2 linked regions of the Schizosaccharomyces pombe genome follow. Changing the gene in region 2 together with the main gene of any one other region gives a genetic interaction. Each region holds a gene or a part of one and is shown on either strand. Other genes may lie near its edges. The genes, in order: alg6 and vrg4.

Region 1 (4,976 bases), on a different chromosome or scaffold from region 2:
AAAGCTTTTTATTTTTTAACGTATCTTTTACCGTTGTTTCATTTAATCCTATTTTTGTAAACTTGGCACGTAACTCCTCATAATCCTGGTCCATTTTAGTATAATAAAACTTCCCTCCAAAAAATGTATAAGTATTGCAATAACAGCAAACGCGATGAAAAATGAGAGGGTACGGTTAAGTTTTTAATAAAGCTGTTATTATCTTTCAATTCATGTGATAAGCTCCTATCATTGCGTTAATCTGCATAACAGCGGAGTAGGGAACTAATCTTAAAAATCGTTAAGTTAATAAAAGTAGTTTCAGTATTAAATTAAAATTTAAAACATTTTGTTTACGGTTTGAAAATTAAAACAGGAATTCACACTTTTGCGCTTTTGAGATATTTTTAATTTTTTTTAAAAAAATAGAGAACGCAAAATGCTTTCCGAATCTTTGTTTTTTTCCTTTAAATGAATAGTTGTTTATCGGTTCTAAGCTCTTGCCTAGTAAGGCTTTTTTGCTTTCACTTTAATACTCAAGGGAGGATGATTCTTTATTGCTATAAAAGTTTAGATTTTAAAAACAGCATCAACCACTGTAGTGTACAAATGAATTTCATTTGCCCGCCAAGCAGTTAGTATGTTTTTATTCATTCAATCTGGTATCTCTTCTCAAACGAATGTACTTTTGGGTATTTTAATTAAATTTAATCTAATTAGGTTTTAAATTTTCATAAAATATATAAATAACTATTTGTGAGTCCTTGAAAATATTTCATTTAGCTTAAGCATAAATATTGAAATTATTCTGAAGAGTAAACAATATACAAACAATGCGAGAATGCAAATAATGTTAGTAACTATACAACTTCAGTTTCTATTTCAAATCGTTTTACAAAAAATTAAACTAAACATATGATTAGTAAATATCGCTTAAAATTATACAAATAATGGAGATTTCACAGTGTTCCATCAACGCAAAAAGAAAATATTAGGATAATGCTTGCTTTTACTTAAAACTGTAACAGACCAAGAAATAATTTTACAATATTATTATGAATTCTGGTTTTAAAAGCATGATTTTTCGTCAAACCGTCGCTTTTTTTTTTAGCCCAACAAGGGTTTTCTTTAGAAATTATCATGAACGAAAAGACTTTTAAAATTTCAAAGCTCTTAATTGCAGCTACAAATTCGAGATCAATTACATAGTAAATGTATTAAGGGAATTATTTTTCTTAGCATGTTCTTTGCTAATAAGATTTTCGTTAGAGCTAAATTATTAAACAGCAAACAATTAAGTAATATATTTCAGTTCATTGAATTTAATGGGCTAGTATCACTGAAACAAACTCCTAACTTGCCAAGCTCAATTTATTCTAACATTTACCTATCTTAAGAGAAAAGTAAATCAGTCAATAAGTGATACAGCTTAATTTTCATGTTTATCAACTCATTTTTTATGTTATTGCTCACCCTTGGATCAATTATGTAGTGATAACTTTGCGCGTATTTAATTTTTAGGCTTTGAAACTGAAAATAAAAAATAAGAAAGAAAGAATGAATTAAAAAGTGAATTGATTTTTTTGGACATTATAAAACCATATTTCACGATGATCGCAATGGTGGACCCATAGTCCACTTCGTGGTTCCCAACCCATTTCACTGTTATCCCAACTTGTATCTGCTTTGAATTAGCTTTTCCTTGTTTAAAACATTCCGGATACAAATTCACTCGTTTTTTAATCTTTAAGCTTTCCAAGTTGGATATTTTAATTTAGAAACCCAAAGTTTTAAAGCGAAATCCTTACCGTTTGACGGCCGCTTAAAACATGCTATCTGAGTTTGAGAATGGGGCTCCCGTTCAACAATTCGTTTCTCGTTTTCGATCCTATTCATCTAAATTTTTATTTTTTCCATGCCTTATAATGAGTTTAGTTTTCATGCAATGGCTTATATCTATCGGTCCTTATTCTGGGTATAATACACCTCCTATGTATGGCGATTTTGAAGCGCAAAGACATTGGATGGAACTAACATTGCATACTCCTGTGTCTCAATGGTATTTTAGAGATTTGCAATGGTGGGGATTAGATTATCCTCCTTTAACAGCATATGTTTCTTGGTTCTTTGGTATAATTGGGCATTATTTTTTCAACCCCGAATGGTTTGCTGATGTCACATCTCGTGGATTTGAAAGTCTTGAATTAAAATTATTCATGAGATCTACTGTTATTGCATCTCATCTTCTAATACTCGTTCCCCCTTTAATGTTTTACTCCAAATGGTGGTCGCGCCGTATACCTAATTTTGTGGACAGAAATGCTAGCCTAATTATGGTCCTTTTTCAACCTGCTTTACTCTTAATTGATCATGGTCATTTTCAGTACAACTGTGTTATGCTGGGTTTAGTTATGTATGCAATCGCTAATTTGCTTAAAAACCAATATGTAGCTGCTACGTTTTTTTTCTGTTTAGCTCTTACGTTTAAACAGATGGCTCTATATTTTGCTCCTCCTATTTTTTTTTACTTATTGGGAACTTGTGTAAAGCCAAAGATTCGTTTCTCAAGATTTATCTTGTTGTCAGTCACAGTTGTTTTTACGTTTTCCTTAATATTATTTCCATGGATTTACATGGACTATAAAACATTGCTTCCTCAAATTCTTCATCGAGTGTTCCCGTTTGCTCGTGGTCTTTGGGAAGATAAAGTTGCTAATTTCTGGTGCACCCTCAACACTGTTTTCAAAATTAGAGAGGTGTTTACTTTACATCAACTCCAAGTAATTAGCTTGATTTTTACTCTCATTTCTATTCTCCCATCTTGTGTTATATTATTTCTTTATCCTCGTAAACGTCTTTTAGCTCTGGGTTTCGCAAGTGCATCATGGGGGTTTTTTTTGTTCTCTTTCCAAGTTCATGAAAAGTCGGTTCTTCTTCCTTTACTTCCCACTTCTATTCTCTTATGTCACGGAAACATTACAACCAAACCATGGATTGCTCTAGCAAACAATCTTGCTGTTTTCAGGTAAAATATACATATTTACTGTTTAAATTATACTAATATTTTTATTAGCTTATGGCCGTTACTGAAAAAAGATGGTCTTGGTTTACAATACTTCACATTAGTATTAATGTGGAATTGGATTGGTGACATGGTAGTTTTCTCAAAAAACGTCCTTTTTCGGTTCATCCAACTGGTAAGACTATTTTTATTATTTGCTATTTTTTTATGCCAGGTGTATTAACTGGATGCAGTCTTTTTATGTTGGTATGATTGTTATTTTGGGAATTGATCTGTTTATCCCACCACCATCCCGTTACCCCGATTTATGGGTCATTCTTAATGTTACGCTTTCATTTGCCGGATTTTTTACTATTTACTTATGGACTCTTGGTCGCTTGCTACACATTTCAAGTAAACTTTCTACTGATTTGCGTAACAAAAAAGAAGCATAAATTGAACAAAATGATTTTATGTTACATTATTACGCGGAAAAATCAACATATAGTAAAGGATTTTATTAAAACAATTCTGGGAGAAGGATTGTTATTCATGACTTCAAATATTAAACGAAAGTTATATTTGCCTGAAATATTATTTTAGCCAAGTAACCTTTTATTAAAAGAACGATTATTAAAGTACCATCATCCCATCGAATTCAACACGACAAAGTTGTAAGCGGTACCAGACCGAGCTTTCTACTTTCGTAGCTGATCTAATGTTCAGTAAAAATTGAAAATATGATAAAACAAAAAAAGACAAATGGGATTGTGTATCGATAAATTAGGAATCCCTAATGACTGCATGCTGAGGTTTAACTTGAGGTTTAGGCTGAGCATCGCTGTTAGGTGAAGCTTCATCTTTAGTGGTAGATGAAAGCGAATTTGTGTCAGCAACTTCAGAACCAGAAGGCACGTCTGACGTTAAATTAGTTGTAACTCTTCTTATAGGTTGCCTTTTCCTCTTTGTAGACGCCGTATGTTTTGGAGTATTCCGTTCGTCAAGACTCATCTGAGAAATTATTTCTTCACACCTTTTATATAGTTCTTTAGATGTCCAAGCCGCATTATTATAAAAAAGAGTAGGATCATCTAATAAAAGACTAATTTCTCGAGGGACTTCACAAAATTTCTCAAAGTTCTCAATCAACAGATGAACAGCCTCGATGGCAAGGAAACTTTCGTCAACAGGATCGTTGCTTTTGGAATATAATATGTTCGGAGTAATTACGGTAGCAAGATTATGAATATCCATTTTGCTTCCCACCTCATCATCGATGTGGGAAAAAGAGGCAACCCAATATAGAAAGCCAAAAATTACCTCCATAGTGTCTCTATGTCCCTTGGGTAGTAAACATATTGTAAGATGCAAAACCCTCATGCGTTCTTCCTCAGACTCCAACTTTGAAGACGTAATGAACAACCCAAATAACTTGAAAGTTAAAAGAGGATCAGGAAGCTCTCTAAGGAATTTTTTCAATAAAGCAGCCAACTGAATGGGTGTTTCTTGCTCATAATCAATTGAATCCGGAGAAACATCGAGCATGTCAGATAGCTCTTTTAACCTACGTATATTTCCGTTCTTTCTAAATACACCAACTACTGACATATCTTTTCTTTTCATAGCAGCCAATGTATTCCCAATAAAGGCAGGAATATGCTTGACACCCACGCCTGTTCCAACCGTCGACTGAGCGTTATTACGCTCAACAAGAATCTCCAATGGCACCCCAAAGGTACCTTTCTTTTTCACGTTCTTTTTTTCGGCATCTTTCCCCTTGAAAGCCTTTCCAAATTTTTCCCAGAAACCACCTTTGCGCAAATCGCTCATTTCCATCAATTCATCAAGTGAATAATAATCCCGTACAAGAGGGTGCAATATTAATACAGCTACGTGCTTGGTAAATAATAATTCTAAATTAGAAAGATCTGAGAGATAACGAATAGGAGCATCTTCTGATTTAGGAGTCAAACCCTTTTGCGTACCATCATTTTTA
Region 2 (4,307 bases):
GAACCAGCAAGAACAATACCCGCAACATTAGGTTTATCATCAGTAATAAAATGCTGCACAGCACCTTCAGCAACCTTTCGAACATAGTTGTGACGTTTTTCATCACGTAAACGGGCAAAACGAAGAGCAGATTGACCACCACGTCCATGTTTTTTAGGTAAATCGACAGTGAATCGTTGTAAAACCTCACGAGCACTACCAGAAACAACACCATATAAAGTTTGATGACCGTCCATAACAATAAATCCGAAGCGTTGATCACTTTCAAGCAATTCTGCTAAAGCTTCAGTATGAAATTTATTATCACAAAGATATTGCGAAGTATTAATTGGTTTGAAGGGTTCGAAATCAATGTTGAGCTTGCGTGTCTTATTGCCCTCCATTATAACTTCACCGCAGTAAATGACCAATCCATTATCAGGGACTTTATTGTACAATTTCAAACGCTCACGAGTTGAAGTAATTGCAGATAGAACTGATAAACGATTCACACGAGATTTAATGTTAGAGGCAGTGCCATACTCTTCGGCAAGCATATTGCTGTATCTGGATATTTGTTCGCCAGGTGGGATAATTAACGTAATCATTGAGGTGCCGTTTCCATGACAGTTAATCAATTGTTTTACCAAACGGCGAATTTTCCAAATTTCGATAGCTTTCTCAGCAGTCTCACTCATTTTGTAAAATTTGTTTTAAAGTTTTTTATACCCAAGGTTCTTGTACACACTATGAAAAATCCGAAAACCGAAATCCTATTTTTTTATAACTTGAACAGACAGTTCAAGCAACGAATTACCTCTTGTACTTCGTTTTTGGTAGTTGGTAGGTTTTTGCCTACTGAAAGGTGACGGCCTATGAAAACTTTTAGCACGATACATTTCGTTAACTTAGCTATCGTATTTGTATTTATTACAGTATTTCAATAATATACAAAAAAACAAATAATTTTTTGGAGGTAAAATATTAGTAAAATTGAATCACTAAACAATTCGACTCCAAGCGGCTGACAAACATTCAACCAATAGTTTAGAAGCTCAGTAAAAGGAAACGAAGACATAAGAACATTAGACGTCCTTTTTCCATCGGAGAGCATTTTAAAGAAAGAAATGATATTTAGAAAAAAAAAGCAAATGATTTAGGAAATGAAATAATAGAGGTCTAAAAATTGTAATTGAATGTCAGTGTTTTATCTGTCAAAATATTTCAAACCTAATAGTCACGTTGTAATAAACGACACGATCTCGTAATCAGGTTTTTATCGAACACGAGTAAAAGCGGTATATTTTGAGTAACGGTAATAAAAACTTTTTAAGTAAAAAGAAACAAAGTCTATTCTCTTATGCAGGCTTGAAAAAATTTTGCAAATTAAACATAAATAATAACCAACACAAAGGGTTTAAGACTTTGACAGACTATCGCGCATGCTTTGAGAACTAGCACTAACGGGATTATGAGTCATAGGGAGGATGGTAGCAGGATCTTTCTGACGTTGCTGTTGAGATTTAGCAACGGCATAAACAACACCAGAAATAAAGCCCAACAAAATAGCGGTAACAGATCCAAAAGTGATGGGTGCATCAAAAAACACTAAACCGGCAATAGCCAAGGGAAGTTTGTTAAGAGCACCAACCATACTATAAGTTGTCGAAGAAGTTACGCGTACACACCAGGCAGAGGTGTAAGAAATTCCTACTGAAGAAACACCACTAATAGCCATAGCCATTAGAACACCAAATTTGGCATCAGGAGGGAAATTTTGAGCAATGTTTTCAGCACTCCAGTCCTCAGTAAAGAGCGTGCAGATAACCAAAACAGGGATACTGAGTAAGTTGTTATAAAACATGGTATCAAAGTCACGAAAGTTGGTAAGTTTGATACGCTTACGCATCGCGAGAACAAAAGCAGCATTTGTGAGACAGTTAAGCACCATCCATAAATAGCCAGAATTTAAGGTTTGGGAAGCAAATGAGGAAGACTGGATGTCTGCCCAAGCAGCGACAATAGAAGAAAGAACCATTAATCCAAAAGAAAAAAGAGTTAAAGCAGTAACATGCCCGCCAAACCAAAGGACCTCACCATAAGCAATGATAATAATAGTTAAATTCTTAAATATAGTGTACACTGGAACAGAAAGAAATTGCAAAGCCTTCGATGCAGTATAAATCATAGCTACCAATAAAAAGGAAATAGGAAACCAAAATTTGGCCTCACGAAAATCAAAATCCCTATAATTAATAACTTTCAAACGTTTTAGTATCCCAATGGCTGCTACACAAACAGTGGATTGTACAGTCAAAAGGAGAAAGTTCATATTGTAACCAGGACTCGAAAGAACATATTTATTGGTCAAAGTCATCAATATGGAAGCCATGCAATATGACACCACTGGAAGAATCGGTGATTTACTAATTCGGTTTAGCATATGATTATCCATTGTTGTTGGAATTTCGTGATGGCTCCGGTGAAGTTGTCTACATACCTACCCACCATGTTTGGAAGGAGCGCGTACGTAACAGGCCTTACCCTTCCTCAAAGACACAGTCCATTGGTAACAAGTTTTGGCATACAGATTGATTAACATCTCTGTTGATCAAACTTAAATAACTTGGTCTTCTCATATAAAATATAATTATTTAAATACTTTTTTGTTCATCTATAAAAGAGTATTTTCGCCTGCAAGCCACACTTAATGTTACACCAATTCATATGTTTTACAACAAAGTATGAGCATTTACTGTAAAAGCTGTGTTTGAATTGTTGTGAAATTCCTTAGTGTATGAAGATCGTTTTCCAGTCGAAGTCGATCATATATAAAGTCGCGATGCAGATACATATACAATTTAAGCATTTGTTGGAACTAGAGAGGCAAGGGAATTGACTCATATTATAATAGATGATTGGAGTATAACCGTATAGACAATGACCTTTCTACATGGATCTTTCGTTTCGTTCAATTGGACTATAAATTTATAAACGAATGCAATGTGGGCTACTTACAAACGCTTTTTCGTAGATAATAGTCTAGTCTTTAAACCATAATAGCTATTAAGACGTTATTTCAAAAGTAAAAGTGCAGAAAGAAGTGTTGACGCAGAGAAGACGATTGATGAAGTACAACTATAAAATAATATACATGCGTTTAGGTACTCGCATGTTTTAATCATGGAATTGGCTAAAAAAATCTATGAGTTGTTGGGAAGTGTTCAGTAATTCTCAATGCCACTTTCAATAATCAAAAATCAACTGAACTTGCAAATGCAAAACATGTAGTATAAGTATGCGAAAATACCCCACCATTAGAAAGCTACGCATCTTAAACTCCTATGGGCGTTTCCAATTGCAGATATGTACGGTATATTAGGGCACGCTTAACTTTGCTAAAAATTAATTAACGAAGTGCAACCACAGATGTATTGCGTAAAGCACTACCGATGTTTAGCCATCCGTCTTAAACGAGCATTGTGCCCATATCAATTGTAAGAAGCTCTTCTCTGTATATAAGCAGTCGACCTCTTGCAAACCGCAGTTTTTAGTAGGAATTGGTATTACACTCATTGTAAACAACATTCTGCATATTTCACCTTTGTGGAAATCATTTATCAAAATACCCACATACAAGGCACACATTGTAAACATTGTGGTTGCAAAGGATTTAAGTACATTTCAATCAGATTTTGGACCTTCCTATTTAATTTATAAATAATTTATATATAATCGCATATATTATATTAAAACTCTAATTATAAACAGCTTGCTTTGATTAGACGTTGCGATGTCGCGCAGAAATTCAATTGCGGTTGAGCAGGCAATCAATCCAAACATGCTTCGCGCTGCCAATCGAAGCTCTGAAGCCTTACTCGATAATGAAAAGTTTGGAGGTGTGCAACCCTACAGTACAGAGAGCGGTATGCTCTTTCATGCCGGAAAGCTCGTAATCATCATGTCTGGCTTACCGGCTAGAGGCAAGTCTAATATTGCTGTGTCGATAGACAGATATCTGAGGTGGTTGGGATTTAATTGTAGATTTTACAGTCTTGCGAAATACATAGACGAACGCACTAGGGAAATGACTAGTTCGCCTGTGAAATCTGGTAAGCTGAAACTATAGTCGACGTTTTGTACCTTTGCTAACTTATAACAGCTGCATCAGAAAATCATGTTTTTAGTAGGAATGACACAATTGAGAGATGTTTAGCAGACTTAGAGATTTTTTTACTTAAAGAGAAAGGTCAGGTTGCTATTTACGATGCAACAAATGGTACTAGACGTACACGTCGTATTTTATATGATAGGTTCAAGAATTGCGG

Evidence for each region.
Region 1: mutations in vrg4 (region 2) and alg6 are lethal when combined (synthetic lethality), as found in Schizosaccharomyces pombe (one study listed by BioGRID).

The regions. Positions count from the first base shown.
Region 1 is NC_003423.3:4,198,535-4,203,510, reverse strand, and holds alg6 (glucosyltransferase Alg6), read left to right. Parts: upstream 1-1,640; 5' UTR 1,641-1,808; coding exon 1,809-3,004; intron 3,005-3,052; coding exon 3,053-3,176; intron 3,177-3,234; coding exon 3,235-3,435; 3' UTR 3,436-3,763; downstream 3,764-4,976. Other genes in the region: glutaminyl--tRNA(Gln) ligase Qrs1, read right to left, coding at 1-94; Rho-type GTPase-activating protein Rga1, read right to left, coding at 3,764-4,976. UniProt on the Schizosaccharomyces pombe protein: Probable dolichyl pyrophosphate Man9GlcNAc2 alpha-1,3-glucosyltransferase that operates in the biosynthetic pathway of dolichol-linked oligosaccharides, the glycan precursors employed in protein asparagine (N)-glycosylation.
Region 2 is NC_003424.3:4,688,297-4,692,603, reverse strand, and holds vrg4 (GDP-mannose transporter Vrg4), read right to left. Parts: upstream 2,464-4,307; 5' UTR 2,435-2,463; coding exon 1,397-2,434; 3' UTR 776-1,396; downstream 1-775. Other genes in the region: cytoplasmic translation release factor class I eRF1, read right to left, coding at 1-677; SPOM_SPAC144.17C (6-phosphofructo-2-kinase), read left to right, coding at 3,773-4,091, 4,142-4,307. UniProt on the Schizosaccharomyces pombe protein: Involved in the import of GDP-mannose from the cytoplasm into the Golgi lumen.